7 linked regions of the Oryctolagus cuniculus genome follow. The protein of the gene in region 1 binds, or shares a complex with, the protein of each later gene. Links are inferred from orthologs where the notes say so. Each region holds a gene or a part of one and is shown in the gene's direction. Other genes may lie near its edges. The genes, in order: TGFB1, ITGAV, TGFBR1, TGFBR2, ITGB8, NRROS and ITGB6.

What was found.
Region 2: the proteins of TGFB1 (region 1) and ITGAV are in contact, whole or in part, in a crystal structure (PDB 5FFO), measured with the Homo sapiens proteins. The link is inferred for Oryctolagus cuniculus from reciprocal best matches to the Homo sapiens genes TGFB1 and ITGAV. Residues at the interface, in NP_000651.3 of Homo sapiens: Gly242, Arg243, Arg244, Gly245; in NP_002201.2 of Homo sapiens: Asp178, Asp180, Phe207, Tyr208, Gln210, Ala245, Asp248.
Region 3: the proteins of TGFB1 (region 1) and TGFBR1 are in contact, whole or in part, in a crystal structure (PDB 3KFD), measured with the Homo sapiens proteins. The link is inferred for Oryctolagus cuniculus from reciprocal best matches to the Homo sapiens genes TGFB1 and TGFBR1. Residues at the interface, in NP_000651.3 of Homo sapiens: Ala279, Leu280, Asp281, Asn283, Tyr284, Tyr328, Ile329, Trp330, Gln335, Lys338; in NP_004603.1 of Homo sapiens: His39, Leu40, Thr42, Lys43, Phe55, Asn68, Met70, Ile78, Phe84, Val85.
Region 4: the proteins of TGFB1 (region 1) and TGFBR2 are in contact, whole or in part, in a cryo-EM structure (PDB 9FKP), measured with the Homo sapiens proteins. The link is inferred for Oryctolagus cuniculus from reciprocal best matches to the Homo sapiens genes TGFB1 and TGFBR2. Residues at the interface, in NP_000651.3 of Homo sapiens: Arg303, Lys309, Trp310, His312, Tyr368, Tyr369, Val370, Gly371, Arg372, Lys373; in NP_003233.4 of Homo sapiens: Phe47, Leu50, Phe53, Asp55, Ser72, Ile73, Thr74, Ser75, Ile76, Cys77, Glu78, Val100, Asp141, Glu142.
Region 5: the proteins of TGFB1 (region 1) and ITGB8 are in contact, whole or in part, in a cryo-EM structure (PDB 7Y1T), measured with the Homo sapiens proteins. The link is inferred for Oryctolagus cuniculus from reciprocal best matches to the Homo sapiens genes TGFB1 and ITGB8. Residues at the interface, in NP_000651.3 of Homo sapiens: His117, Thr241, Arg243, Arg244, Gly245, Asp246, Leu247, Thr249, Ile250, His251, Gly252, Met253; in NP_002205.1 of Homo sapiens: Ser156, Ala157, Ser158, His160, Asn161, Asp213, Tyr214, Asn215, Leu216, Gly248, Asn249, Ile250, Asp251, Thr252, Glu254, Gln286.
Region 6: the proteins of TGFB1 (region 1) and NRROS are in contact, whole or in part, in a cryo-EM structure (PDB 7Y1R), measured with the Homo sapiens proteins. The link is inferred for Oryctolagus cuniculus from reciprocal best matches to the Homo sapiens genes TGFB1 and NRROS. Residues at the interface, in NP_000651.3 of Homo sapiens: Leu30, Ser31, Thr32, Cys33, Thr35; in NP_940967.1 of Homo sapiens: Phe194, Glu195, Ile196, Glu197, Gly198, Gly199, Phe201, Leu210, Leu212, Pro218, Cys219, Ile220, Val221, Asp222, Phe223, Gly224, Leu225.
Region 7: the proteins of TGFB1 (region 1) and ITGB6 are in contact, whole or in part, in a crystal structure (PDB 5FFO), measured with the Homo sapiens proteins. The link is inferred for Oryctolagus cuniculus from reciprocal best matches to the Homo sapiens genes TGFB1 and ITGB6. Residues at the interface, in NP_000651.3 of Homo sapiens: Pro70, Gly71, Pro72, Glu75, Leu158, Asn237, Gly245, Asp246, Leu247, Thr249, Ile250, His251, Met253, Asn254; in NP_000879.2 of Homo sapiens: Ser142, Ala143, Ser144, Asp146, Asp147, Pro196, Cys197, Ser199, Ile200, Pro201, Tyr202, Lys228, Lys231, Ile232, Ser233, Ala234, Asn235, Ile236, Asp237, Thr238, Glu240.

Annotation. Positions count from the first base shown.
Region 1 is NC_091449.1:13,277,410-13,281,549, forward strand, and holds the start of TGFB1 (transforming growth factor beta-1 proprotein), read left to right. Parts: upstream 1-1,340; 5' UTR 1,341-2,267; coding exon 2,268-2,628; intron 2,629-4,140. Other genes in the region: B9D2 (B9 domain-containing protein 2), read left to right, coding at 358-671. UniProt on the Homo sapiens protein: Transforming growth factor beta-1 proprotein: Precursor of the Latency-associated peptide (LAP) and Transforming growth factor beta-1 (TGF-beta-1) chains, which constitute the regulatory and active subunit of TGF-beta-1, respectively.
Region 2 is NC_091434.1:53,699,071-53,702,570, reverse strand, and holds part of ITGAV (integrin alpha-V), read left to right. Parts: intron 1-3,006; coding exon 3,007-3,059; intron 3,060-3,452; coding exon 3,453-3,500.
Region 3 is NC_091432.1:202,804,750-202,808,249, forward strand, and holds part of TGFBR1 (TGF-beta receptor type-1), read left to right. Parts: intron 1-1,563; coding exon 1,564-1,688; intron 1,689-2,660; coding exon 2,661-2,791; intron 2,792-3,500. UniProt on the Homo sapiens protein: Transmembrane serine/threonine kinase forming with the TGF-beta type II serine/threonine kinase receptor, TGFBR2, the non-promiscuous receptor for the TGF-beta cytokines TGFB1, TGFB2 and TGFB3.
Region 4 is NC_091435.1:167,303,405-167,306,904, forward strand, and holds part of TGFBR2 (TGF-beta receptor type-2), read left to right. Parts: intron 1-2,886; coding exon 2,887-3,014; intron 3,015-3,500. UniProt on the Homo sapiens protein: Transmembrane serine/threonine kinase forming with the TGF-beta type I serine/threonine kinase receptor, TGFBR1, the non-promiscuous receptor for the TGF-beta cytokines TGFB1, TGFB2 and TGFB3.
Region 5 is NC_091447.1:12,475,257-12,478,756, forward strand, and holds part of ITGB8 (integrin beta-8), read left to right. Parts: intron 1-2,143; coding exon 2,144-2,307; intron 2,308-2,400; coding exon 2,401-2,523; 3' UTR 2,524-3,500. UniProt on the Homo sapiens protein: Integrin alpha-V:beta-8 (ITGAV:ITGB8) is a receptor for fibronectin. It recognizes the sequence R-G-D in its ligands.
Region 6 is NC_091435.1:83,139,592-83,143,576, forward strand, and holds the start of NRROS (transforming growth factor beta activator LRRC33), read left to right. Parts: upstream 1-1,185; 5' UTR 1,186-1,324; intron 1,325-3,985. UniProt on the Homo sapiens protein: Key regulator of transforming growth factor beta-1 (TGFB1) specifically required for microglia function in the nervous system.
Region 7 is NC_091434.1:81,824,706-81,828,205, forward strand, and holds part of ITGB6 (integrin beta-6), read left to right. Parts: intron 1-1,054; coding exon 1,055-1,186; intron 1,187-1,394; coding exon 1,395-1,812; intron 1,813-3,500. UniProt on the Homo sapiens protein: Integrin alpha-V:beta-6 (ITGAV:ITGB6) is a receptor for fibronectin and cytotactin. It recognizes the sequence R-G-D in its ligands. Internalization of integrin alpha-V/beta-6 via clathrin-mediated endocytosis promotes carcinoma cell invasion.

The DNA of each region.
Region 1 (4,140 bases):
GTGCTCACCTAGAACTGGAGGAGCAGTGGGCTGCCCCTCCACGGGGCACGTAGGAGGCAGCCACACAGAGGGAAGCCAGCCCGTGTCGGATCTGGAACGTTGAGGAGGTTGGACTTTATACCGTGGGCACCCCGGAACAGTGGAAGGGTTTTGAGCAGAGAAGTAAGAGATGTAGAAAGACCCCTTTAACTGCTGCATGGACATGGATCAGAGATGGGGTTCAGAGAGGGGGCTGAGGCAGAACCCCAGGGAGCAAAGTGTCTGGCCTACGGTCTCCAGTGGGTGTCCGGGAGGGGCGATCTAGAAGCAGGAGTCTGGGCCCAACGCACCTTCCTTTCCCCTCCTCCTTTCCTCCAGGTTGGCCCCGGCTCCATCTCCAGGTGTGGTCCCAGGATGGCTTTGGCCGCTGCCAGCTTGAAGGCTATGGCTTTTGCCATGTGCCCAGCAGCCCCGGGACCCACCAGCTGCAGTGCCCCACGTGGCGGCCCCTGGGCAGCTGGCGGGAGCAGCTGGCGCGGGTCTTTGTGGGCGGTGGGCCGCAGCTGCTGCACGGGGACACCATCTACAGCGGGGCTGACCGCTACCGCCTGCACACAGCCGCGGGTGGCACTGTGCACCTGGAGCTTGGCCTGCTGCTGCGCCACTTCGACCGCTACGGTGTTGAGTGCTGAGGCTCTGCCCGAGCTGTCACCGGCATCCACACCCCTGCGCGGCCAGCGAGGGTCAGGATGGCGCGGAGGTCAGCATCGGGGGCCCCAGAGACTTGTCTGCAGCCAAGGCATGGGACGACTTCGGTCCTTGCCAGGACCTCCAGGCCTGTAACTGCCCCTTGCTGCCCAGTTTCTGTCTCTGTAAAATGGGGCAGGAAGGATGCCAGCACCCGGGGGTTGGGTGAGAAGGGGCTACTTAGCACCCGGGCAGGGTTCAATAAAGGTGGGTGCAACTTATAGGTACCAGTGCCTTCGTGACCCCCTTCTTGTGCCCCCCTCACCTGCTGCCCTCTTTCCTCGGGCCCCCATCCTGTGCCCTAGCCCCTCACCCTTCCAGTTCTGAGACACCCCTCGCCCTAGTCCCCCCCTCCCAGTGTCCCCTCCCTGCCAGGTCTCTCACCGCGCATGGCCCCACTGTGATGGTGCATCTCAGGCACCGCTTTGGTAGCACTCAGCCGCCAGGAGGCAGCACCCCTTTCCCGTTCGCGGGGCGGAGCCGGGTGCCCGCCCCCCCAGGGCAGAAGGGACCCCCCTCGGAGCCCGCCCACTCGAGATCAGGACGGTGGCCCGCCCGTCCGCTCGCCCGCCCTGCCCCCTGGAGGCTTCCCCCGCCCCACGCGCTTCCTGGGTGGGGCCGGGGCGGCTTCAAAACCCCCCGCCGCCCTGGCCGGTCCCCGCCGACGCCGCCCTTCGCGCCCCGGTCCGTCCCCCTCCCTCCTCCCGCCGCGGATCCGCCAGACAGCGAGGCCCCCGACCGGGGGCAGGGGGGACGCCCCCTCCGGGGCACCCCCCCGGCTCGGAGCTGCCCGCGGGCAGAGCCTGGGCCCCGAGCGCAGCTGAGCGGAGGAAGGAGCCGCCGAGGAGCAGCCCGAGGCCACAGTCTGAGAAGAGCCGCCCCCGCCGCCGCCGCCGCCGCCGCCGCCGCCGCCGCCGCCGCCACTGCGGGGAGGAGGGGGAGGAGGAGCGGGAGGAGGGACGAGCTGGTTGGGAGAAGAGGAAAAAAGTTTTGAGACTTTTCCGCTGCGGCTGGGAGCCGGAGGCTCGGGGACCGCTTGGCGCGGCGCTGGCCCAGGGGGAGGCAGGACTTGGGGACCCCAGGCCGCCCCTTTCCTCACCGCCTCGGACGCTTGCTCCCTCGCTGCCTCCTACACAGCGACCCCCGTTCCGGACCAGCCCTCCGAGCCTCGGACCCTTTCTCCCGCGAAGGCTTTGCCCCAGCCTCAGGCTCACCTTCTGCCCGTCTCCTGAACCCCGAGCATCCTAGGACCTTCCCTCCTCTGGGGACGGGTCTCAGCCCTGCTCCAGCTCCCCTACTCAAGACCACCCACCTTCTGGTAGTAGAACTCGCCTGTCTCCGTTTCTTTCGTGGGATACCGAGACACCCTGGCCACAGCCTCCCCTCCACCCCTGCTTCTGTCTTCCTGAGGGCCTCAACTTTTCCCTGAGACCCTCCTCCCTTACCCCGGGAGACCCTCAGCCCCTTCAGGGGCGGGGCCTCCCCATCCCACCCCAGCCCTGTTCGCGCTCTCGGCAGTGCCGGGGTGCGCCGCCTCCCCCATGCCGCCCTCCGGGCTACGGCTGCTTCTGCCGCTGCTGCTGCTGCCGCTGCTGTGGCTCCTAGTGTTGACGCCCGGCCGGCCGGCCGCGGGACTGTCCACCTGCAAGACCATCGACATGGAGCTGGTGAAGCGGAAGCGCATCGAGGCCATCCGCGGCCAGATCCTGTCCAAACTGCGGCTCGCCAGTCCCCCGAGCCAGGGGGAGGTGCCGCCCGGTCCGCTTCCCGAGGCCGTGCTCGCCCTGTACAACAGCACCCGCGACCGGGTGGCCGGGGAGAGCGCCGAGCCGGAGCCGGAGCCCGAGGCCGACTACTACGCCAAGGAGGTCACCCGCGTGCTAATGGTGGACAGCAACAACAGTGAGCTCCGAGGGACGGGGACCCGGGAGGGGGCCCCCAGGGGGCGCCGGAGCGCAGGGGTCAGGGAGGAAATTACCCGCGGAGGACACAGCGGGAGGAAGGGGACCCCTGGGTGCACAGGGAACGTGGGGGAGGGCGTGTCCTAAAGACGAGGGCGCTGAGCTCCCCGACCCTCAGGGACTGGTCCTGGAACAGTGCGCCAAGTGCACGGGACCCGCGGGGGCGAGGGAGGTCCCGGGGGACACAGGCAATGGGGTAGAAGCCGTTCCCTCCGCAGGGCCCGTGGAATGCGGGGGTCGCGGGGTGGGAGCTGCAGAGAGGGGTGCTCTGTGGGTAGAGGCTGAGCCCCTAGTTTGTGGGTAAGGGAGCCAATGAGAAAGCTGGGCAGAATTGGGGGTCACGAAACAGAAAGACGGAAGGAGCAAAAGCGAACAGCAGCAAAGTGCCAGGAGCGTGGACCTGCTTCCAGGGCGCACAGGACACGCAGGACTGCAGGGGTCGTGGCAAAGAGGCGGTGGTCTGCGTGACGGGTGCGGGCATGGGACGCGAGGCCGGCGGTGGGAGGAGGAGGCTGACGGGAGAGGAGCGGAGACCCGGAGCGCGTGCCCAGGGTGCGTGCAGAGGGTCGCGCGTGCTTGCAGCCGGAGTGAAGGCACAGAGCAGGGAATCCCAGGAACCAGGACTCCTGAGTCGGGGAAGGGGCTTCCGGAGAGGGGAGGGGCGTGGGAAAGGTGTGTTGGGATGGGGCAGAGGGGAGGTGGCGGTGCTCTGGGCGCTGAGCCGCGAAACCCGCTCGCTGTGGGATGGGAGGGGCCGGACGAGGAGTGGAGCGGTTGGGGGGAGGTCTGGGCGGGGGCGCCCGTGCGAGGCCCAGGTGAAAAAAGTGAGCAGGTGGGGGTGAGGCTGCCCCACATGGGTGCCACGCGCGGCGGGGAGGAGCTCGCTTTTCCCGAAGAGGAAGGAGGACCCCGCAGGGCTGAAGGCCGGCACTGCGGACCCCGGAGTTGCAGTTCCTCCGGGGAGGCTGGGGAAACCCCAGCGTCCGGCCGCCACCCCTCCTCCCTTCCCTTTCCTTCCCGTGGCCCGGGGGCGGGGATCGCGCGCGGAGCCTGGGGCGAGACGAGGCAGGTCTGTCTCCGCCCTCGCGGCAGCGGCGCGTCCCGCCCCTCTCCCCCCAGCTGTGGGAGGGGTGCCTGTGGGCCCGCCCCGTCGGCGCCCACGCGGGGACCCAGGCTGCCTCGTGGCCTGGGGACTTGGGGTGAATCCCCAGGTTTCACTTTATGTCCTGTGCGGTGGGCTTGGGGGTCCCTGGCTCGCGCCCGCGCCTGATGTGCAGCTGTAGTCCAAAGGCGCCCCTTCCCCACCCACTGGTCCATCTGGCCTCGCTTCCGCTTTCTCCTTCGCCCGCGGTGTGAATTAGTTCACTGAGTTTCTCCTGAGGAGGCCACGTCCTCTTCCCTAAACTCGCGTGTCTCCGCGGGTGTGTCCATCGTGGCCCTCCTATTCCTGTGT
Region 2 (3,500 bases), on another chromosome or scaffold:
GACCTGACACCATCAAATTATTAGAGAGCATTGGAAAAACCTTGTAAGATATAGGTACCGGCAATGACTTCTTGGAAAACACCCCAGAAGCACAGGCAGTCAAAGCCAAAATTAACATTTGGGATTGCATCAAATTGAGAAGTTTCTGAACTGCAAAAGAAACAGTCAGGAAAGTGAAGAGACAACCGACAGAATGGGAAAATATATTTGCAAACTATGCAACTGATAAAGGGTTGATAACCAGAATCTACAAAGAGATCAAGAAATTCCACAACATCAAAACAAACAACCCACTTAAGAGATGGGCCAAGGACCTCAGTAGACATTTTTCAAAAGAGGAAATCCAAATGGCCAACAGACACATGAAAAAATGTTCAAGATCACTAGCAATCAGGGAAATGCAAATCAAAACCACAATGAGGTTTCACCTCACCCTGGTTAGAATGGCTCACATTCAGAAATCTACCAACAATAGATGCTGGCGAGGATGTGGGGAAAAAGGGACACTAACCCACTGTTGGTGGGAATGCAAATTGGTTAAGCCACTATGGAAGTCAGTCTGGAGATTCCTCAGAAACCTGAAGATAACCCTACCATACAACCCAGCCATCCCACTCCTTGGAATTTACCCAAAGGAAACGAAATTGGCAAACAAACAAGCTGTCTGCACATAAATGTTTATTGCAGCTCAATTCGCAATAGCTAAGACCTGGAACCAACCCAAATGCCCATCAACGTAGACTGGATAAAGAAATTATGGGACATGTGCTCTATAGAATACTATACAGCAGTCAAAAACAACGAAACCCTGTCATTTGCAACAAGATGGAGGATTTGGAAAATAACCATTGTATCATATGTGTGTATTATGTATAGGAGGGTCTTCAAAAAGTTCATGGAACAATGCATGTTATCCTTTAATTTCATTTTTCACAGTTTTTAAAGTACTTGCATATATATTATAAATAAACTTTGCTGGTATTATGTGAAGTAAGACATTTTAGAGTTAAAGAGTAGTACTTTTAAGTACTATATATCATGTTCAACACAGGTATTTTTTAATCTGTAATGTATAAGAGTACTTCAAAAAGTTTGTGGAAAACTGAAATTAAAGGATAAATTTATTTTGGTACAAAATAATTTAGAAATGCATGCATAGTTTTATCACAATACATATTTTTCCATAGCTTTTTGAAGACTCCTTGCATGTCTCAGAGAATTAAATAATGATAATCACAAAGGAAAATTAAACAGTCAGTGTAGGAAAAATACCTCACGGTTTGCAGATTTGGTATTCAAGCCCATTTCTTGTCAGTAGAGATTGTTGGGCTTTGAGAGGATCCATAGTATGGGGACCAGCTTCAGGATTGTTGCTCCACATGAAGTAATGCATAATCCACAGGCAATTGGGATTGCTGGAGGCATGGTTATCCTTTTGTGCTGTTTCATTTCTATCCAGTGTCCATGGTTGTGTCTGGATCCTGTTGCAAGTGGGCGGTGATGCTTGCTTTGTGAGCTGTTTCCAAAACATTGCTGAAAAACACCTATTGTGAAAAAGCTGTGCATGGGTTCCCATTATGTTTTGAACCAAAATGAACTTACTTTTTAACTCATTGTTTTTCATAAACTCTTTGAAGTTTCCTTATTTTCATCTTCAGCTATCGTTGGGGAAGTGCAAGGCTTAGATGAGGACAGACCTGGGCTCTGTGCTGTTTATTATTGCTTTGGACAAAGTGTTTGCCACTATGATTCTGATTCCTCATTGGTAAACATAGGGATGCTGCTAACGTTCTCATGGGGTAGCCGTGAGGATCCATCATGGTGCTCAGGACAGAAGTTGTTCTCAGTAAATGCCATACTTTCTTTACCCTTTCAGGACAAACACTCTGACAGAATAAGGTTCAAGAATATTATTTTGGCATATTGTAGTCAGCACATCAACATGGTACCCCAAACATAGTACACTTCAGTACACAAATTCTGATCTTATCATTGAATAGCGAATGTGTGTTTTGTTTTCTCAACTACACTGTATCAAGCCAAAATAGATAAGGTAGGAATCTCCCTTATCATCCCCTCTGAATATATATTCAACTAATCAAGATTCAGAAGCATCCCTATTCCTAAAGTTGTACCTATGAAATTTGCATTCATTGAATTAAAGCTTAAAAAAAAAAAAAGAAGCATCCGTAACTTTCCTTCTTTGCTTTGCTGACTCATTCACTCATTTGTTGACTCACCTTAGTTTATCTTTAGTCTGTCATCTCTTCTAGCTTTGTTTTGCCTGTTGGGCTCTCTTTAGAACTTCCTTTTCTCCCATTCCCACCCCCACTCCTGCCCCCAGCTGTCTGTGGTAGCCAGTGGTCTCCTGTGGTGGAGGAGAGGAAATTTCTTCTCCCTGTGCATAATAACTTCATAATAAATCCAAACATATTTGTAGTGTGTGTGTAATTAAGAAACAAAGCCATCTGGCAAATAATTGATTGAGATGTGAGACAAGAATGAACTCCTGTTTGTGTCTTTCCAAACAATAACTTCTAAAGAATAGTTGTTTCACAAAGGGAGAGCCAGTTATTTTCTGTTATCAATAATTATTAACTATTGTCCTTTCTGAATAGGCATCCACTTATAACTTCTTGGGTCCAATTAAAATGTTTGTGACTGTGTCTTTCTGTTAGTATGCCTGTGTGTGCCTTTTGTCAGGGAATGGGGAGAAAGGGAGCGATTGTTAGGCATAGGAAGGAGAGTTGATTATACTTGGAATACAAGTAAATGGAATTTAAACATTGAAATGTTATACCTAGAATGTATTTTACTTGCAAATTAGCAAGCCTCATTACCTGATTGTTGTGGTGTTGCTAGAATAAACAAAAGAGAAGACTTTTAAATTGAAGCACTGTATATAGAAAAAAATAACCATTTCTATTTGCTAGATATATTGTAATTGTTAATTGCCTAAAGTATTTGGATGAAATATAAACATTTCATTTTCATCTTGTTATCCAGATGGCTGCATATTTTGGATTTTCTGTAGCTGCCACTGACATTAATGGAGATGAGTAAGTTTTAAAAAATTTTTCCAGAAACAGTTTTGCTCTCATGTTTGTGAATTATTTACTAAAACTAAGCAGTTTTGCTTTTGTTTCTCTGTTCCCTTTCTGCTAATCTATTTAAGGAAGCAATTTGAAGCAACCTGACACAAACATGGAAAACCTCTGTTGGTCATATTTTTTTAATAGTTTTTATAGCATGAAAATTTTATGGTTTCATAATTTCTTAAAAGAGTTAAAAGAAGCTTTGAATTTGAAATGGCTACTATGGTCATCGTTTTGTGCTTCCATGTACCTGTGAGAGATGTGGAAAAGGGGAAACTGAGTTTTAATAAGAAAGAAAATGTGTATTAATAACAGATGGAATTTGATCTTGCTTTGGTGAGGAGTTCTGTCTCTCAGTTATGCAGACGTGTTTATTGGAGCACCTCTCTTCATGGATCGAGGCTC
Region 3 (3,500 bases), on another chromosome or scaffold:
CTAGTCCCGGCTATTCCTCTTCCAATCCAGCTTTCTGCTATGGCCTGGGAAAGCAGTAGAAGATAGCCCAAGTCCTTGGGCCCCTATACCCACATGGGAGACTGGGAAGAAGCTCCTGGCTCCTGGCTTCAGATTGGCGTAGCTCCAGCTGTTGCGGCCTTTTGAGGAGTGAACCAACAGAAGGAAGACCTTTCTCTCTGTCTCTCCCTCTCCTCTCACTCTCTGTAACTCTAACTTTCAAATAAATAAATCTTAAAAACAATTATTATTTAGAAGAGGGATTGGGGCTGGTGCTGTGGCACAGTAGGTTAAAATCTTTAAAAAGTTGGTTTAAAATCTTAAAAAAAAAAAAAGATTATTATTTAGAAGAGTGACTGGGGCTGGCTCCCTGGCACAGTTGGTGCCTCTACCTGTGGCACCAACTTCCCATATGGGCACTGGTTCTAGTCCCGGCTGCTCCTCTTCCAATCCAGCTCTCTGCTATGGCCTGGGAAAGCAGTAGAAGATGGCCCAAGTCCTTAGGCCCCTGCACCCACATGGGAGACCAGGAAGAAGCTCCTGGCTCCTGGCTCCAAATTGGCGCAGCTCTGACCGTTGCGGCCATTTGGGGAGTGAACCAACAGAAGGAATACCTTTCTCTCTGTCTCTTTCTCTCACTGTCTGTGGCTCTACCTCTCAAATAAATAAATACTTTGAGGAAAAAAAAAAAGTGACTGAAAGAGAAAGATTTTCCATCCACTGGTTCATTCCTCAAATGGCTACAGCAGCCAGGGCTGAGCTAGGCAGAAGCCAAGAGCCAGGAAATTTATCTGAGTCTCCATTTCAGTGGCAGAAGCCCAAATATTTGTATTTTTTTAAAAAAAGATTTATTTATTTATTTGAAAGTCAGAGTCACAGAGAGGCAGAGGCAGAGACAGAGAGAGAGGTCTTCCATCTGCTGGTTTACTCCCCATATGGCCACAGTGGCCGGAGCTAGGCCATTTAGAAGCCAGGCACTTCTTCCGGGTCTCTCATGCAGGTGCAAAGACATAAGGACTTGGGCCATCTTCCACTGCTTTCCCAGGCCATAGCAGAGAGTTAGATCAGAAGTGGAGCAGCCAGGACTCAAATCAGCGCCCATATGGGATGCCGGCACTGCAGGCAGTGGCTTTACCCACTGAGCCACAGAGCTGGCCTCCCCAAGTACTTATATTATCATCTGCCTCCCAGATACATTAGCAGGAAACTGGTTGGATTGGAAACAGAGGTGGGGATTCAGTCCCAGGCACTCTGATGTGGGTACAGGTATCCAAGTGGCAGCTTACCTGCTGTGCTACACACCTGCTCTGTAGTTGTTAGATGGGCAGACAGTGTGAAACTGCTGTTTCAGCATTTCATGGGATTTAATTGGCATCATCAATTTACACATCAGTTTGTGTATTGAATTTTTTTAGTCTAATCTCTCAACTATGTAATACTCTGTATATGCCTATGTATGTTCTGTGTGGAGAAATAAAGTTTATGGAACAGTTAAAAATAATGTGGCCGCCATTCAGTAAAATAAAACATTGACTTCTTTTTTAGGTACATGGCTCCTGAAGTTCTAGATGATTCCATAAATATGAAGCATTTTGAATCCTTCAAACGTGCTGACATCTATGCAATGGGCTTAGTATTCTGGGAAATTGCTCGACGATGTTCCATTGGTGGTAAATTGCTCTCTTCTTTCCCAGCAGTTTGTCATGAGCAGAACTTGTTGAAGAATTACATTCTTTCCTATTGAATTATATATAATGTGTCTACAGTCTGAAACAGGTGATCACTGAGAGTGCCAGAGAAAACAAAGGGGGAATGACATGACATACAGATTGTACAGCTTTATTTTAGTGAATTCTTTTCCTGTTTCCATTTGAATCTTGGCAAGCATCAGAAGCCGATTCCTTGTTACACTGGGATAGACTTATGTGTCACAGACCGCTGGTTGAGAGGCTGGCTAGGAAGTTATTTTAACATGTACCTGGATGATACATTTTTTTCCCTTGAGATTGTGGTTATTTTCTCCAACTTGATAGCTGTAGACTACATATACAGAAAACAGTGACATCATCATTCCATCCCGTGACTTTCAGTACATTTGTTCTGACTTTTAAGTTTCGTTTCAGATTGAGCACTTTGTAGTATTTACCGAGAAGCAGTCTGTTAGACTTGGAGCCCAGGATTGATCGAGAGCTATAGACTCAGGTTTTTGAGGCAGCGAGGGACAGAGGCTCTGTATAGTGGCAAATAGGACTTGTAGTTGACAGTTGCATGCCGACAAAGGGACTGGCACTCTGTAGGATTCACATCCTCAGCTGAGCACACATGTGTACTGAATGAGAGGCTAGAATAGAAAATCTCATTTGCTGCACAGTAGCCTTCTAGGCGAAAATGGCAATCTGGTTATCACAGCTCATAGTTAACCATCATTGAAAAAAGCCCGTGCTGATCTCATGGCAGTGTTGAGTTTCATGATGTGAGCCCAGAACAGACGGGCAGGGGCGGAGCTTGTTGATGCAGATGTGGAGCAGAGAAAGCTGTGAGTCCTGGGCACTGTAATAGGCCCTTTGGGTGATCCTTTTAATGGTTTGGCATTAGCTGAATAAATTTTTCAAAATAGTTTGTATTTTTTTTAACCAATCTAGGAATTCATGAGGATTACCAGCTGCCTTATTATGATCTTGTACCTTCTGATCCATCAGTTGAAGAAATGAGAAAAGTTGTTTGTGAACAGAAGTTAAGGCCAAATATTCCAAACAGATGGCAGAGCTGTGAAGTGAGTATTTCTTTTTGATACTAGGCAAATTTCTGAACTGCATTTGCTTAGTTGCAAAGTGAAAATTAGCTACTTTTTCTTAAGGAAAATGGACAAGAATTCTCTTTTTTCTTTCCTTTTCATAGCACTTTATGCAGTAGATAAAAATGAAGCAATTTGCTTTCCACAACACACTGAAAGGGCCCTGGAGCACTTGCAGTGGCCATTAGTGAGTCCAAGGTTGTTTAGGTCCGCCCAGTGAGCTTAGGCATCGGCCTTGTCAGTCACTGTTTCCCTTCAGCCAGACAAGCCCAGAGTGATGTGGTAAGTGCTGGACAGGGAATAGGACGTTTGCAGCCTGAGCACCCGCTGCATGCACAGGCTTTATTTTTGTTTATTTTGTTTTTTAAAGATTTATTTATTTATTTGAAAGAGTTAATACAGAGAGAGAAGGAGAGGCAGAGAGAGAGAGAGGTCGGTCTTCCATCTGCTAGTTCACTGTTCAACTGGCCACAATGGCCAGAGCTGCACAGATCTGAAGCCAGGAGCTTCTTCTGGGTCTACCATGTGGGTGCAGGGGCCCAAGGACTTAGGCCGTCTTGTACAGCTTTCCCAGGCCATAGCAGAGAGCTGGATCAGAAATGGAGCAGCCAGGACTTGCACCGGCACCCATATGGGATGCAGGCATGCAGGCAGCGGCTTTACCCACTGTACCACAGTGCCGGCTCCG
Region 4 (3,500 bases), on another chromosome or scaffold:
TTTTGCCAAAGTGGACTGAGCCTTCTTCAGCCGCTAGCTGCCTGGAGCCCTGGGAGGAAGCCAGAGTAGCAAAAGCCTTGGCCAGCGCCTCACTGATTGTCCCCAGCACTGCTCCCGACCCGAGACTCTTCAGTTCCAGTACATGAGTTCTCCCCTCAGAAGGACCCTGGGTACCCATCAGGCTGGGAGGCTTCCTGTCCTCTAACCTCCTCTGTCAGGGTTCAGGCCTCCACCTTGAACCCTGGGCCATGCCCTTCTGTTGCTGCAAAGCAAATATGTAGAAGAACCAAGGCCGTCAGAGGGAACGGCCTCCATCATAACATCTGTCGTGGTCATCGTCCAGGTCCTCATGGGGCCCTGAGAATGACCTGGACTACATAGTCACAAAAGGAAAAACAAGCACCACTGTGCAACAGCCACAACCCAGTGGCAAAGCTGCTGACCGAACGGCAAAGGCACACACACAGGTGGGCGTTAGGTGCTCTTGCTGCACATTATGGGGCATGAGAAAAAAGAAAATAGTGGTGGGTGTAGGCTATGCAAAATTCAAGAGAAGGACAAAAAAGAAAAATTGCAAAAATCCATGGTAAAAATAAAAAGTCAACATGTATTTAGTTGCTTTGGAAGCTATATAAATAGAGATTCCCTAGGGGTTGAAGAGAGGTCAGCTTAAAACCTGCACACACTTCCCAACCCCACCCCACGCCTGGTCTGAAAGACAGCCTCCCTGCCGGGGTGGCGCCTGCCCGCTGGGCTCCGACGCTGCTGCCTCCAGACTTGTCTGTCTGACATTTGGAAGGAGGAGGGAGATCCATTGGTCTCCCTGGTGTGCCCTTCCCACTGTCCTTGACCTCTCTTCCCTGTGGAAACTCCCGCAAGTCAAAGATGGGAGGCAGCCCTGGGACCCCTGGGGACGGTAGGGGAATCTCACAACTTCCCAGGATTTTATGAAAGTAGGAAGTGGCCCGGCTACCAATCTCTTTGCTCTGGAAAAAGATCCCTGAGTTTGTCTTTTCTCTCACCGGAGCAGTCACTGCTTTGTCTTTCAACAACAGTATACCCTGGGCTGTCCTCTCCCATGCTCCATGGAAACTTGCTATGGTTCATGGAGAACTTACAAAATTAAAATAAGTGCTGGGCTTATGTCAAGTTGAAGATTAGGACTTGAAATGAGGGAAACTGGCCCCTAGGTACAATTTGAGTTGTGTGTCCTATGTGAGATTCATTGTGGGGTTGACTCTGATCTTGGTATTGTCTTTCCTTGCCATTGGTCATATCCTCCCCCTCTCTTCTTTAAGATCTCTTTATTTATTTGAAAGAGTTACAGAGAGGGAGAAAGATCGTGCATCCTCTGGTTCAATCCCCAAATGGTCACAACAACCAGGACCGGGCCAGGCTCAAGCCAGGAGCCAGGAACTCCATCTGGGTCTTCCCCATGGGTGGCTGGGGCCCCAGGACTTGGACCACCTTTGCTGCTTTCCCAGGTGCGTTAGCAGGGAGTGGCATTGCAGGCAGAGCAGCTGGGACTCCACCTGCACTCTGATGCTGGGTGCCATCCCTGGGTGCTTGTCCAGCTTAAGACTTGCAGCGTCTCAAGAAAGGACTTCCTCCTGTGGCTTTGTGACCAGAGTGGGTGGACCTGGGAAGAAGGAGAAGGCACCTTCTTGGCAGCTGTCTTGGAACCTGGCACAGTGATCTTGGTGCAATGATTCATTGAGGAAGAACTCGCAGGAGAGGGCAGGGAGGAAGGTCAGCGGACTCGAGTTTTGGGAGAGGTCTCCCCTCGGCCTGGTCTCACGGGCAGCGCTGGCCAGGAATTGCACCAGAATCGCTCCACCAAGAGGATTTGTCTGTTATTGGCTGCTCCTGGGATAAGGCCGACACGGCCAGGAATCTCTAGGACAGGCAGTTCCCATCAGCCAAGGGCAGTCCCCCCAGGAAAGGTGAAGGTGTGTGTCCTTTTGACCCAATGCCCGCAGCAGCTGGGGCCTGGTGCTCTTGGCTGGTGCTCTGTCTAAGGGACCATTTATATCACATGTAAACCCTCTTCTATCCTAGTGTATTATAGCACACATTCCTCAAGGCATACCACTATCGCATTATTGGATTAAATTGGATTACAAGATAAATCTGGGGTTGGGGGGTTGACAGGAGGGTCACGCAGGGTCACATCATGCATTTTATACCTGGGAAGTAGGTCAGAGTAAACCCGGACTGGGAGCCAGCTCGCATTCCCAGTTTTCTACTTTTGCTTGGATTGCAACCAACTCCTGTCTATGGAATGCCCACTACGTATAAGGCACAGTCTGGGCACTGAGCAAGGAACTGAAAGACACAAACCTCAGCCACTGCCTTGGGCCTTGGGAATTTATAGTTCGGCTGAAGATGGGGATGGAAGGGGGTGGGGATGAAGGTGACACAGAAGTGTTACGCAGATCGAAATTCCACTCTCCAGGGCTAGCACTGTGGCACAGCAGGTTAAGCTGCCATCTGCAGTGCCAGCATCCCATGGTGGTGCTAGTTAGAGTCCCAGCTGCTCCACTTCCAATCGAGCTCCCTGCTAATGCACCTGGGAAAGCAGCAGAAGATGGCCTGGGTCTTTGGGCCTCTGCACCCACATGGAAGTCCCAAAAAAGCTCCTGGTTCCTGGCTTCAGCCTGGCCCGGCCCTGGCCATTGGGGCCATTGAGGAAGTGAAAAACCAACTCTTACCCAAGAGTTGTATGGACTAGATGCTCGTGCACAAGAAGGCAAAAGCGCACACCCTTCAGGACGGTCCTTGCTCTGTCCTGGGGTGCACATGCTGCCTTGTCACCTTTCCCCACACACGTGTCTCCTGCAGCTGCATGTCCTGTTCTCAGTGGCCCTGTGTTTGCTGTCTTCACAGAGGTCAAAGATTACGAGCCTCCGTTTGGTTCCAAGGTGCGGGAGCACCCCTGTGTGGAGAGCATGAAAGACAATGTGCTGCGAGATCGAGGTCGACCAGAAATCCCCAGCTTCTGGCTTAACCACCAGGTAAGGCGTGACTGCTGGGGCGGGATCTGGTGTTCCTGGCTAGGTCAAGGGGACGCTAGAGGAGCACCCAGCACAGCTGCTGCTGCAGCCAAAGTGGTTGGAAATAAATGGAGGGGCAGCGGCTGGTGCAGTGTCTAAGCAGTGACTGACGTCACATACATACCCTGTCCTATGTTATACAGTAACACAGCATGCTCACCAGCCCCTTAGGTGGGAGAGAATTCTGGGAGATGGGACTTAAATCTCGGGGTGGGTCCCTGTGTGTTCCGGGACCGGAGAAGGTTCTGTTTATAAAGAAAACCAATAAAGTGGATGACCCTGGTATTTACTCTAAGTTCCAGCAAGCAGGGGAGTAGGCAGCACCCAAGGAGGGCTCATCAGTATCCGTCGGAAGGTTGTTTGTCACATTTTGTAAACAAGGACCCTTGGTTCTAGAGCGAAAATGTTTCTGTTTGCAGCCAGGGCCATTCCCTCCCCGGTCTTTCC
Region 5 (3,500 bases), on another chromosome or scaffold:
AATTAGAATAAACCTTGAAATCGTGTCCTCACTGGAAACATTCCGATTGCATCTACTATTTCAGGGCTGCCCCCACCACCAGCACCACCATGCCAGTAAGAAAAAGTGCAGCTCTTGCAGAGATGGAACACAGAAGCAAACTTTCACTAGAGCTTTCTCTCCCTTTTGCTTTGCAACCACACTGGTCTTAGCCCGTAATGGATTTGGCTCTGAACAGAACCCATGTGCTGCCAGCTGGGGCTACAGCAATCACTCCAGAAAGCCAAGTGCCTTTTCTAATAAAAGGGCCCTCGCTATCAACATGTCATTTATAATGTTCAGTAAACACTCCTGATTTAGCTGTTGTTACCATAAAAAAAATTGCCTAAAACTTCTTAGGAAAAGCCCCGGCCTGACCAAAACTAAGAAAAGCATGGGTCAGAGGAAAATGTTTGACCACCCCTAGCAACGGTTGAAAAGGTAGCGGATTTGCACCCTGAAAATGTCTTCTACCCTACCCTGTTAGAAACGTCCCTAAAATGTGTCAGCTGCGAGGGAGATCCCCTCCTCGTCACAACTCTTGTGCAAGGAGTGGGGAAAAGGCTTCTGTTAGGCACCTCTGAGATCCGTCCGCTCAATCACACTTAAAGAGTGTTCTTTCGGTCTCTCTGGCTAAGCTCCTACCGGGCAGGAGGCCAGAGAGGGGAATCCAGCCACGTGCCCCCTCTGAGCATCTGCTTGGCTGGGTGACTGGTCTGGAATCAGCCAAGGCAAATGACAAAATGCATCCTGCGCGTCGTGACCCCGCAAGTCACTGCGGAAGACTCCAGGGCACCATTTTGAGAGCGCCTTGGAGTCCACCCCGACATGGCTGGAGACGTGCTCTGGTATTTAGGGTTTCCGTTCCAGTAGGAGCCCTGGGGCCTCTGCCTTTGTCCATTCTTTCAAGTTAACTGATTGCCGACCAGAAGGAAGGCTCCTCTGCCTTCCCAGCTGGAGAGAGCACCCCTTGCCTCTCATCACCGAGCTCTTGGTGGATCCAAGAGCCCCACGTGCTGGTCCCTGGGAGTTCTAACTCAGATCACCTATAAACTGGGGATGTGCTACCCCAGGCCTTGGCCAGTCGCCTCCCTGGAGACCCTTCACGTTCAAGGGCTCCTCCCCATGCCTGGAGAATGGGCAGAGGCACAAATGCCTCTTTAGCCAGGAAGTCACTTTCTGAATCTGGGACAGCTGTTGAGTTCCCTGGAATACTTGTCTATTGTGCAACCATGTTCCCCTCCGATTAGAGTAATACCACTGGCAGCAACCAAGCCTGTCCGCTTTCCAAGGACGCTGTGCCAAAGGCCTGGTGCTGAAGCAGAGATCTAGCGTGCTCTTCACACTGCTGCTTTTTTCCCCTCCAACTGGAAATTATCTGTCCTTGAAAAAAAATAGGGTGGAAATTTTAGTAGAAAATGGAGTAGATTTAGCTAACAGACGAGTAAAAAAAGAAATTAATAAAATTGAGGAAGAGATTTGAGTGTGTCCCAAACTGGACACTCCCATTTCCTGGAGAAGCCATGTGTAATAATAATGAAAACCTACACTGCAACTTCAGAGGAAATATTTGTTCATCTAGTACCGATTTTAGATTCTGTAGATGTTTACTTAATTTTCCATTACTGGTGTGCAACAAAATAATAAGGGAAACATATGCTCATGCCCAGAGCTGTTAGATAATTGTTTAAAATCCTATTTTCCACTTAGTGATCAACAGTAAACACTACAAAAAGTGTCCTTTTCTCTGTCATGGATAAAATTATGTTTGGTTAAGGGATTTGGACACATTCCAGTTAATACAATTAAAGCATCAAGCTGCAAAAAAAAATGTTATTGAATCCCATTAGCATGGATATTCCCCTAAGGGAGGCTCCCATTAGCATGGATATTCCCCTAAGGGAGGCTATCTATTGAAAATATTTTTATAAGAAATATGCAATAAAATTAGAGAGAATACTTTTTTGAGCCAGCAATCATGTCATGTGAATCCCCTATTTTAAAAATATAGGTTTGCAAATATCTCTGGTCCTATTCATTGAGCTCTCAGCATAAGTTGCTTGGTACCATCCTCTGATCTCCTCATACTGATTTTTAATCCATTTATTTGTTTACTTTATTACAGAGTGTTTCTCTAGCCCAAGCTACTTGAGGATTTTTTTCATCATATTCATAGTCACGTTCTTGATTGGGTTGCTTAAAATCCTGATCATTAGACAAGTGATACTACAATGGAATAGCAGTAAAATCAAGTCCTCCTCAGATTACAGAGTGTCAGCCTCAAAAAAGGTCAGTGAATTAAAAAAAAAATGCTGCCAGTAATTATTGTCTAGCTACATTATTTAGGCCCTTAACTAACAACAATATTTCTTCTCCGTCAAGGATAAGCTGATTCTGCAGAGTGTTTGCACAAGAGCAGTGACCTACCGACGTGAGAAACCTGAAGAGATAAAATTGGATATCAGTAAATTAAATGCTCATGAAACTTTCAGGTGCAACTTCTAAGAAAAAAAGATTTAAAAAAATACTTTGTGGGAAACTGATTTTTCAATAACTGCTCCTAAAAAAGGATAGTTCTAAAAGTCACAGGAGGAGACAGATTGTTCCAGATTGTGCCAGTTGCTGGATGGATTCGAGTGAAGACTGCCAAGCATCCTCATCGTCATGTGACTCACATAGCTGCTGAATTTTTCAGAGAAAAATGTCTTACTACTGTTTGAGACTAGTGTCATTGTAGCACTTTACTGTAATATATAACTTATTTAGATCAACCTAGAATGTAGATCATCTGAAGAGCACTGATTACACTTTACAGGTACCTTCCATTCCTATGCTTCCCAGAGAGAGAGAGACAACGCTGTGAGAGAGTTGCATTGTGCCACCACAAGGGTACAGTGATCCCTGCATTGACCATGCAGACGAAAAATATCATCTGGTAGTTACACCGGATGTTTTAGGCCAATTTTGCCCAACACTTCAACTGTTGGCAATGAGTAGACAAGAACAACTAGATGAATAAATGGTTAGTGTCTCATTTATTCAAGAGGTGAACATATGAAAGCTTAATATTAAGGGATATTGCTTCTGAAACTGTATAGTTTAATGCATGTGTGTTGATCTTTTCTTTTTTTCAAGATGGTTGCAAATTCTAACACTCTCTCCTCTTTCTCTTTGTAGTTTGTTTTTCTCCCCTGCAGGATAAGTTTATATGTCACAAATGACTGGACTGAATAAGTGCTAAGTTACTACTGCATACAGAACTAATAATACAATGTCACTTTATTAGAATACTGGTTTTAAAGGCTGAATGTTAATGAGAAACACTGTAAACTGTTGTCCAAACCGGAATAGCTTCATTGTTTGCAGACCTAGTGTTTTGATTTCTTCTTCACCTGGTAAACTGGATGGATTGTTCAACCCTTTCATTTGTGTAGTCATTAAGGTAAATTCTGCAAGCCATTTAGAAAGTTTGCCTCAAGCAA
Region 6 (3,985 bases), on another chromosome or scaffold:
AAAAGAAAAAAACAAAACAGAACAGAGTGGGCATTTAGCCTGGAAGTCACCCTTTCCCCCTCCCACTCTCGCTCCCACCCCATGTTAGAGTACTTGGGTTCCACACCCAATTCTGGTTCCTGATTCCAGCTTCCTGCTAACGTGCACCCTGGGAGGTAGTAGGTGTTGGTTCAAGCAACTGGATCCACGCCAGAAGGCATGGATTGTGTCAGCTCCCAGCTTCTGCCGGCACCGTTTTGGCCATAGAAGATAATTGGAGAGTGAACCAGTGGATGGGAGTGTGCGCGCTCTCTCTCTAAAAAGATAAACAGTACAAATAAAAATGTTTTAAAAGCCCACCCATTCATGCAGCCGATGATCAGGAAGCTCGGGGCACTCTCCAACGCCCAGAACAACGCAACTCCCCTTCCTTTCTTTCATTCATTTTTCTTTTCCTTTTTTTTCATAGCTTGGCACTGGGCCCATAAAAGGAGACCATTATTAAAGACTGGGCTGAGGGGCCGGGGCTGTGGCTCCGTGGGTTAACACCCTTGCCTGAAGCGCTGGTATCCCACATGGGCGCCGGATCGAGTCCTGGCTGCTCCTCTTCCGATCCAGCTCTCTGCTGTGGCCTGGGAAAGCAGAGCAAGATGGCCCAAGTCCTTGGTCCCCTGCACCCACGTGGGAGACTTGAAAGAAGCTCCTGGCTCCTGGCTTCAGATCGGCACAGCTCTGGCTGTCGCGGCCGTCTGGGGAGTGAACCAGTGGATGGAGGACCTCTCTTTCTCTGTCTCTACCTTTCTTTGTAACTCTTTCAAATAAATAAAATAAATCTTAAAAAAAAAAAAAAAAAAAAAAAAAGACTGGGCTGAAGGGGAAGGACTCTCCCCTTCTATAACTGGAAGATCCCTGAGCTGCCCACTTCCCAAATCTGCCTCAACACGCTCTTTGGACATAATTTGGGAAATGCATTTCCAGGCAGACAGCCCTAGAAGGCAAGGGCCCCCAGGGGCATCCCCTAAGAACAACCAAGACAAGAACCCTCGGGGAGCCCGCTTAGTCTGCTGGGGGCTCCTTGGCGGGCTGGGCAGGTGCTGCAAGGGCGAGTCCCAGCCCCCACGCCGCAGGGGGCAGTTCCCTCCTGGGGACGCTGAGCGCTGCTGAGTCGTTGAGCTGCAGCTCGAGCTCCATGTGACTTCAGTTTCCGTCCGTTCCTTCCGCAAGTGCTAAAATAATCCGATGCCCCAGAGAGGAGGCAACCCAGCCCCGCGTTTGGCTGCTCTCGAGGAGGCGGGAGCCCCTGGAGAGGATGCGCCCCGCGGAGCCGCCTGGGCCTGCGGGAGCCGTGAGTATTTCCCGCGCGGGGGCCTCCGGGAGGTGGGCGCGCCGGGAGGCTGGGCAGTGGGAGGTTGGCGCCCTGGCCGACAGCACGGAGCCAAGCGGGAAGTTGCGGCTCGCTCTGTCCCAGCTTGGCCCCGCTGGCTTGGGTGGGAACAACTCCCTGTAGGAGCGCTTAGGGCTAGAAAGGTGGGGTGGTGCAGTGGCAACAGTCGGGGCCTCAGCATCAGTCGTGACTTTGATTCGTGGTCTGGGGGGGGGGGGGGGAGAAGGTGAGCAGGTCAGAAAACGTTTCTGAACCTCAGTTTTCTCATCTGCAAAGTGGGAACAAGCGACGGCTTGGCTCTCCCTTCCTAGCCCTACCCCGCACCTGTATGGAGGGTCACCAGTTCACAGATGAGACCCTCCTGACACCACCCTTACCCACCAATATCCTCCACGTGCCAGGCCCTGGGGATGCCGCTGTGACTGTTGGCAGAACCCCTCCCCCACAGAGCATTTGTGTGGGGGGGGGGGGGGCGTGCTGGGATTCAGCAGGCTCTGTTCCTTGGGACCCCAGCTAGTAAGTGTCAAAGGGGGACTAGAACTCAGCCCTTCCGACTCCTTGTCCAGTGCTCTTCTGTGGCCCTCCTGGCCTCTGGGTGCAGGCTGGGTTGTGTAGGGGCGACATACATCCCCCATGGACCCAGGAGATGTAAGGATGCACAGACGTGGCTCCTGCTGCCCTCTGCTGCCTCGGAGGGGGCTGGCAGCTCCACTTTGCCCCCAGAGGAGGTGGACACGTGCCTGGCTGATGGTGGCTGGCCCTGCAGGAGGCTGAGGCTGGTGGCAGGAATGGGGCCTAGGACACAGCGAGGGAGGAAGGCACCTGTGGTGGGGGTGGGACGCAGGAGGACTGTGCAGTAGAGTGTGCGCAGCTGACCCTCCCCGATTCCCTGTGCTCCTCCTTCCTTCCCTGCTGAGGCTGAGACGCACCCCTGTGGCCAGGGATGCTGGTGGTTTCCTTGGCGTTGTGGTTCTGAGGCGTGCTTATCTTCCTCACACAGCCCACAGATCCGTACATGAAACCCTGAGCTCCTGGGACTCCAGGATTGTGGGCCCAGGAAAAAAAATCCCAACTCCCGTCTGTAAGTTAAACCCAAAACTCCAGGCTCAAGTGTTTGGCACCGAGGTGAGGCTGCCTCTCAGGACGCCCATATCCTACCTCAGAGGACCTGGGTTCAGTTCTTTCCGATCCCAGCTTCCTGTTAATGTGTGTCCTGGGAGGAGCAGGTGCTGGCTCGAATACTTGGCCGTGGCAGACCCAGGTGGGGTTTCAGGCTCCTGACTGGAGGACCCAGCTCCACCTGTTGCAGGCATTTGGGGAATGAACCGGCATATGGATGATCTCCCTCTCTGTTTCTTTATGGCTTTCAAATAAACAAAAACACAGCTTTGCCAAGAAAAGTGCTTTCATCAAATGGGTCCCCTCCTGGGAACTTGGTGAAGACCCCTGTGCACTTGAGCCCGAGCCTCCCGAAGCCTGTCATCCAAGTGCAGGAGCTTCCTAAACAGAGAGCAGGCTGGCCGTGTCTGGCTTCTGGCGTATGGGTTAGCAGTGCGCTGGGCTGTCTCTGGTCCTGACTCTGCAAAGAACAGTGCTCGTACTGGCGGTGCCCTGCACGCTGGCTGCAGTGGGCACCTGCATCACAAAGCAGAGGCGACCCTCTTGCACGGGCAGCTCCACGTGCCTCACCCAATACTCGGGTCCGTTGAGTTAGGGAGGCTCAGCTTCCCAGCCTGCTCAGGCTGAGCTTGTGGGTGAGACGCTTACAGGTGCCTGCTCACTGGTGCTCAGTGCGCATCACTGACAACTGGTTACAGTCTCTTTGGTTTTGGCTTTTACTTTTGGTATCTTTTTTTTATATAAAAGATTTATTTATTTATTTGAAAGGCAGAGTTACAGAGAGTCAGAGGCAGAGAGAGAGAGAGAGAGGTCTTCCATCTGCTGGTTCACTCCCTAGATGGCTGCAATGGCCTGAGTTGCACTGATCCAAAGCCGGAAGCCAGAGCTTCCTCTGGGTCTCCCACAGGTGCAGGGGCCCAAGGACTTGGGCCATCTTCCACTGCTTTCTCAGGCCAGACTGGAGAGCTGGATCGGAAGTAGAGCAGCTGGGACTCGAACCAGCACCCATATGGCATGCTGGCACTGCAGGCGGCAGCTTTACCTGCTATGCCACAGCACTGGCCCCATTGGTATCATTTTTTATATTCATTTTCTTCCCCAAACCATTGTTCTCAATTTCATCCTTGAATAAATGTGTGTACTCAATTTGTGAGGCACTCAGTTAGTTAAGGTGATGATTTAAAAAAAATTGTTTACTCAAGAGGCAGACAGACAGACAGACAGACACACACACACACACACACACACACAGACACACAGATAGCTAAAGGGAGCTCCTGTAGGCCTTGTGGCACAGTAGGAGGCCCTCGTTTTATCTCAACCCCAGAGACGACCTTGAGACACTCAGGGGCGCCGTTCGTTTGTAATGTCAAATGCAGCATGGCACAGGCACTGGCGGTCAGCAGGGGACCCCTGCTGGGTCAGGGTTACCTGCATGGTGGCTGGGTCATGGTGGGGGCGCTGGGAGGTCTGAGAGAGGACCAGGCAGCTGAGACACGGGCT
Region 7 (3,500 bases), on another chromosome or scaffold:
CATGCCAACAGCATTTTCAAAACTTTTTGAATGAATTGAAATATAACTTAATATTATTCTAACTTATTTTTTATATTAATTTGGTTGTGTCCCCCTAAAATATACTTTTATTTTGTAAGTGAACAAAGGAGAGTAAAAAGTAAGATGATCAGCTTTTTTTTTTTTTTTTTTCCTGAGGGAAGAAATCCGGTCTTATTATTTCCCCAGAACTGACTCTAAACTAAATGAACAAAAGGTACTAAATACATTCCAACAGCTTCCACCCACATTTCGACATCTGTAGAACTAGGATCCAGCTTGGAGTTAGCAGTGCCTCACAAGCACCGTCTGCCAGGTGGCAGGCATGATGGAGCTTTCTTTGACAATGTGATTGTCGTCACTTCCATTTGTTGAACACGTGTTAAGTTTAATGGATTCAAAAAGTGTCTGCCACAATTCTATATTCAAATGAAAAGTGATGTATGCAGAAATGTCCCGACACAGAGCAGCAGGGTGTTAATTTGATACCAGTGAGGAGATATTCACTGTTGAAGGAATTACTGCCATTCTGCAGTCCTTCCAAAGCAACAGCCAGCTGTGTTATGGGACCCAAGAAATGGTAATACTTACAAGTAAAGTAAGATGTTTTATTTATCACTGAGATATAAGCAAAAAAAAAAAAAAAAAAAAAACTGCCTTTTATATGCCAAGCCGTGCAACTCAGGGGAGGAGAATTTGCCAAATCCCTCAAAATGGATAAAATAATTTTCAAAGCTAAATTGTTTTAGACTGATGGGTATATTTCATATATTGTGCAGAACTGTCTCCAGGTATCTGTCATAATTTAATTGTCATAAAATAATAGCAAATCTTATAATTGATGGCATCTTCGATTTGATAAAATATGAAATATATTGATTGCTCACTTTCTTGCTTGAGTAATGACATGATGAATTTATTTCAGACCCTATTTAATTTTATTCATTTTTAGTTTAATGAAGATGATTCACAGTTCCTTCTTCTGGCTGTATGTTATGGTTGTGACTTCATCTAACTCTCTGTGCCTTAACTAAAGGAACTTCGGTCAGAAGTGGAACTGGAAGTATTAGGAGACACGGAAGGACTCAACTTGTCATTCACAGCCATCTGTAACAGCACCCTCTTCCCACACCAAAAGAAATGCTCGCACATGAAGGTCGGAGACACAGTAAGTAGAGAGCCCAAAGACCTGAAATAAATAGGCCAGGGGGTGAGAACTTGGCAGAGCTCACTGAAGCTTTGTATTCTTTCAAGGCTTTAAAAGATCTAAGGAGCATCTCTTTTACAAAGCTGATGGATGCAAAGCTTGCAGCCTGGTTTCACCTCTTGTCTGCTGGTGGCTGGAGGAAGCAGATCGTTCCTATGTTCTCTCACAGGCTTCCTTCAACGTGACCGTGAGCGTAGCCAACTGCGAGAAGAGAAGCCAGCACATTGTCATAAAGCCCGTGGGCCTGGGAGACACCCTGGAAATCCTCATCAGTCCCCAGTGCAGCTGTGACTGTCAGCAAGAAGTGGAAGTAAACAGCTCCAAATGCCACGATGGCAACGGCTCCTTCCAGTGTGGAGTGTGTGCCTGCCACCCAGGCCACATGGGTCCTCGCTGCGAGTGTGGCGAGGACATGCTGAGCACGGACTCCTGCAGAGAGGCCCCCGGGCAGCCCTCGTGCAGCGGCAGGGGTGACTGCTACTGCGGGCAGTGCGTCTGCCACTTGTCTCCCTATGGAAACATTTACGGGCCGTTCTGTCAGTGTGACAATTTCTCCTGCGTGAGACACAAAGGACTGCTCTGTGGAGGTAGGCTATACCACGTCTCACTCTATATCAGGCAGGGGCTTGGCGTCCTTCGCTCTGTCTGCAGTTTCCTGGGCATAGCAGGTGCTCAGGAAACATTTGTTTATCAATTGAGTGACTTCATGTTTAGGCTGAGGTTACTGAATCTTGCTTTGTTGTTGTTGTTTTCCTAACTCTAACATTTACCTGGGGTAAAATCTCAATCAACTGAATTTATATTTCTATTATAATTTCCCTAAAAGTAAGTAAAAGATGGCAGTGTCTTCTCCCTAGCCATCCCCCCAAACCTTGAAGAAATGCCTGTAATCTTAACTCCATTACCTTCTAGACCTCTCTGGATCAAGCCGCTGAATGCCCCAATTCTTAAATGCCTATTACTTTGGAAAAATAAAAAGCTAGATCACTAAACAGGTAATGCTGCCAAGGTCAAGGAGCACAGAATTACGCAGTGGACTTTGAAGGCCTTCATTCACTGCAGAGATATTTACTAAGCACCTGCCAAGTGACAGACACCAGGCTAGGGGTGTAAGAAAGATGGGTGAGGACAAGTGGAAAGCAGCCAATGGAAAGCATGAAATGAAAAGCTACCTGGAATTTCTGGAGAAATTTGAAAAACTTAAAAATAGGAATATTTATGTTTTAATAGTCTCTGTACAGGTAAAGTCACTGTAGTTTAAGAATACACAAGCAAAGCTCAAAAAGTTCATAGAAATGCTAAATTAAAAGAATTTAAGGGGCAACAAATTTTTAGTTTTTTCATAATACACATTTTCCATTAACTTTCTGAGGCACTCTCATATTACATATAACATGATGTATAATCATTCTGGTATGTAGAAATATATATTTAAGTATAACCTTTCAGGCAATTATTATGTGTATGTGAATATACTTTTTAAAATTTATTTATTTGAAAGGCAGAATTACAGAGAGGCAGAGGCAGAGAGAGAAAGAGAAAGAGAGAGAGAGAGAGAGAGGTCTTCTATCTGCTGGTCCTCTCCCCATATGGCCGCAATGGCCGGAGCTGCACCAATCCGAAGCCAAGAGCCAGGAGCTTCTTCCTGGTTTCCCACATGGTTGCAGGGGCCCAAGGACTTGGGCCATCCTCTACTGCTTTCCCAGGCCATAGCAGAGAGCTGGATCAGAAGGGGAGCAGCCAAGACTCAAACTGGTGCCTATATGGGATGCCAGCACTGCAGGTGGCGGCTGTGCCCGCTAGGCCACAGCACAGGCCCCAATATACTTTTAAATGATAGAAATTTGTGCTACAATGGCAATAATAACTGCCAAATCTAAGCTGTAGTATCTCTGTTTTTCAGTCCGAAAGCAAACAGATCTTCAAAACCAGAAAGCCATTATCTTTATAGAAAAACTCAGCGGGTCGTGTTTTCAAGCCAGCATCAAGAATATAGAAAAGAGTCTAATTTTCAGAAAAGAAAGACATGAGAGAACGAAGCGTCAAAGAACTGCACGCCTTCTGAGCGCCAGTTGATGCCATTTCACTTCCTCACTACCGCTGTGGCTGTGCGAAAGTGTAGGCTCTTCTGAGCAAAATCTGCCTTTTCCTCCCTTACTGACTGAAACATTTAGGATCTGGCCCACTTGAGACCACTCCTCTTCCCTCTCACTCAGAGGTTTACTTGCTGATTTATGGAGTGTATTTCCAAACCCATATCAGTTCTCTTCCCACC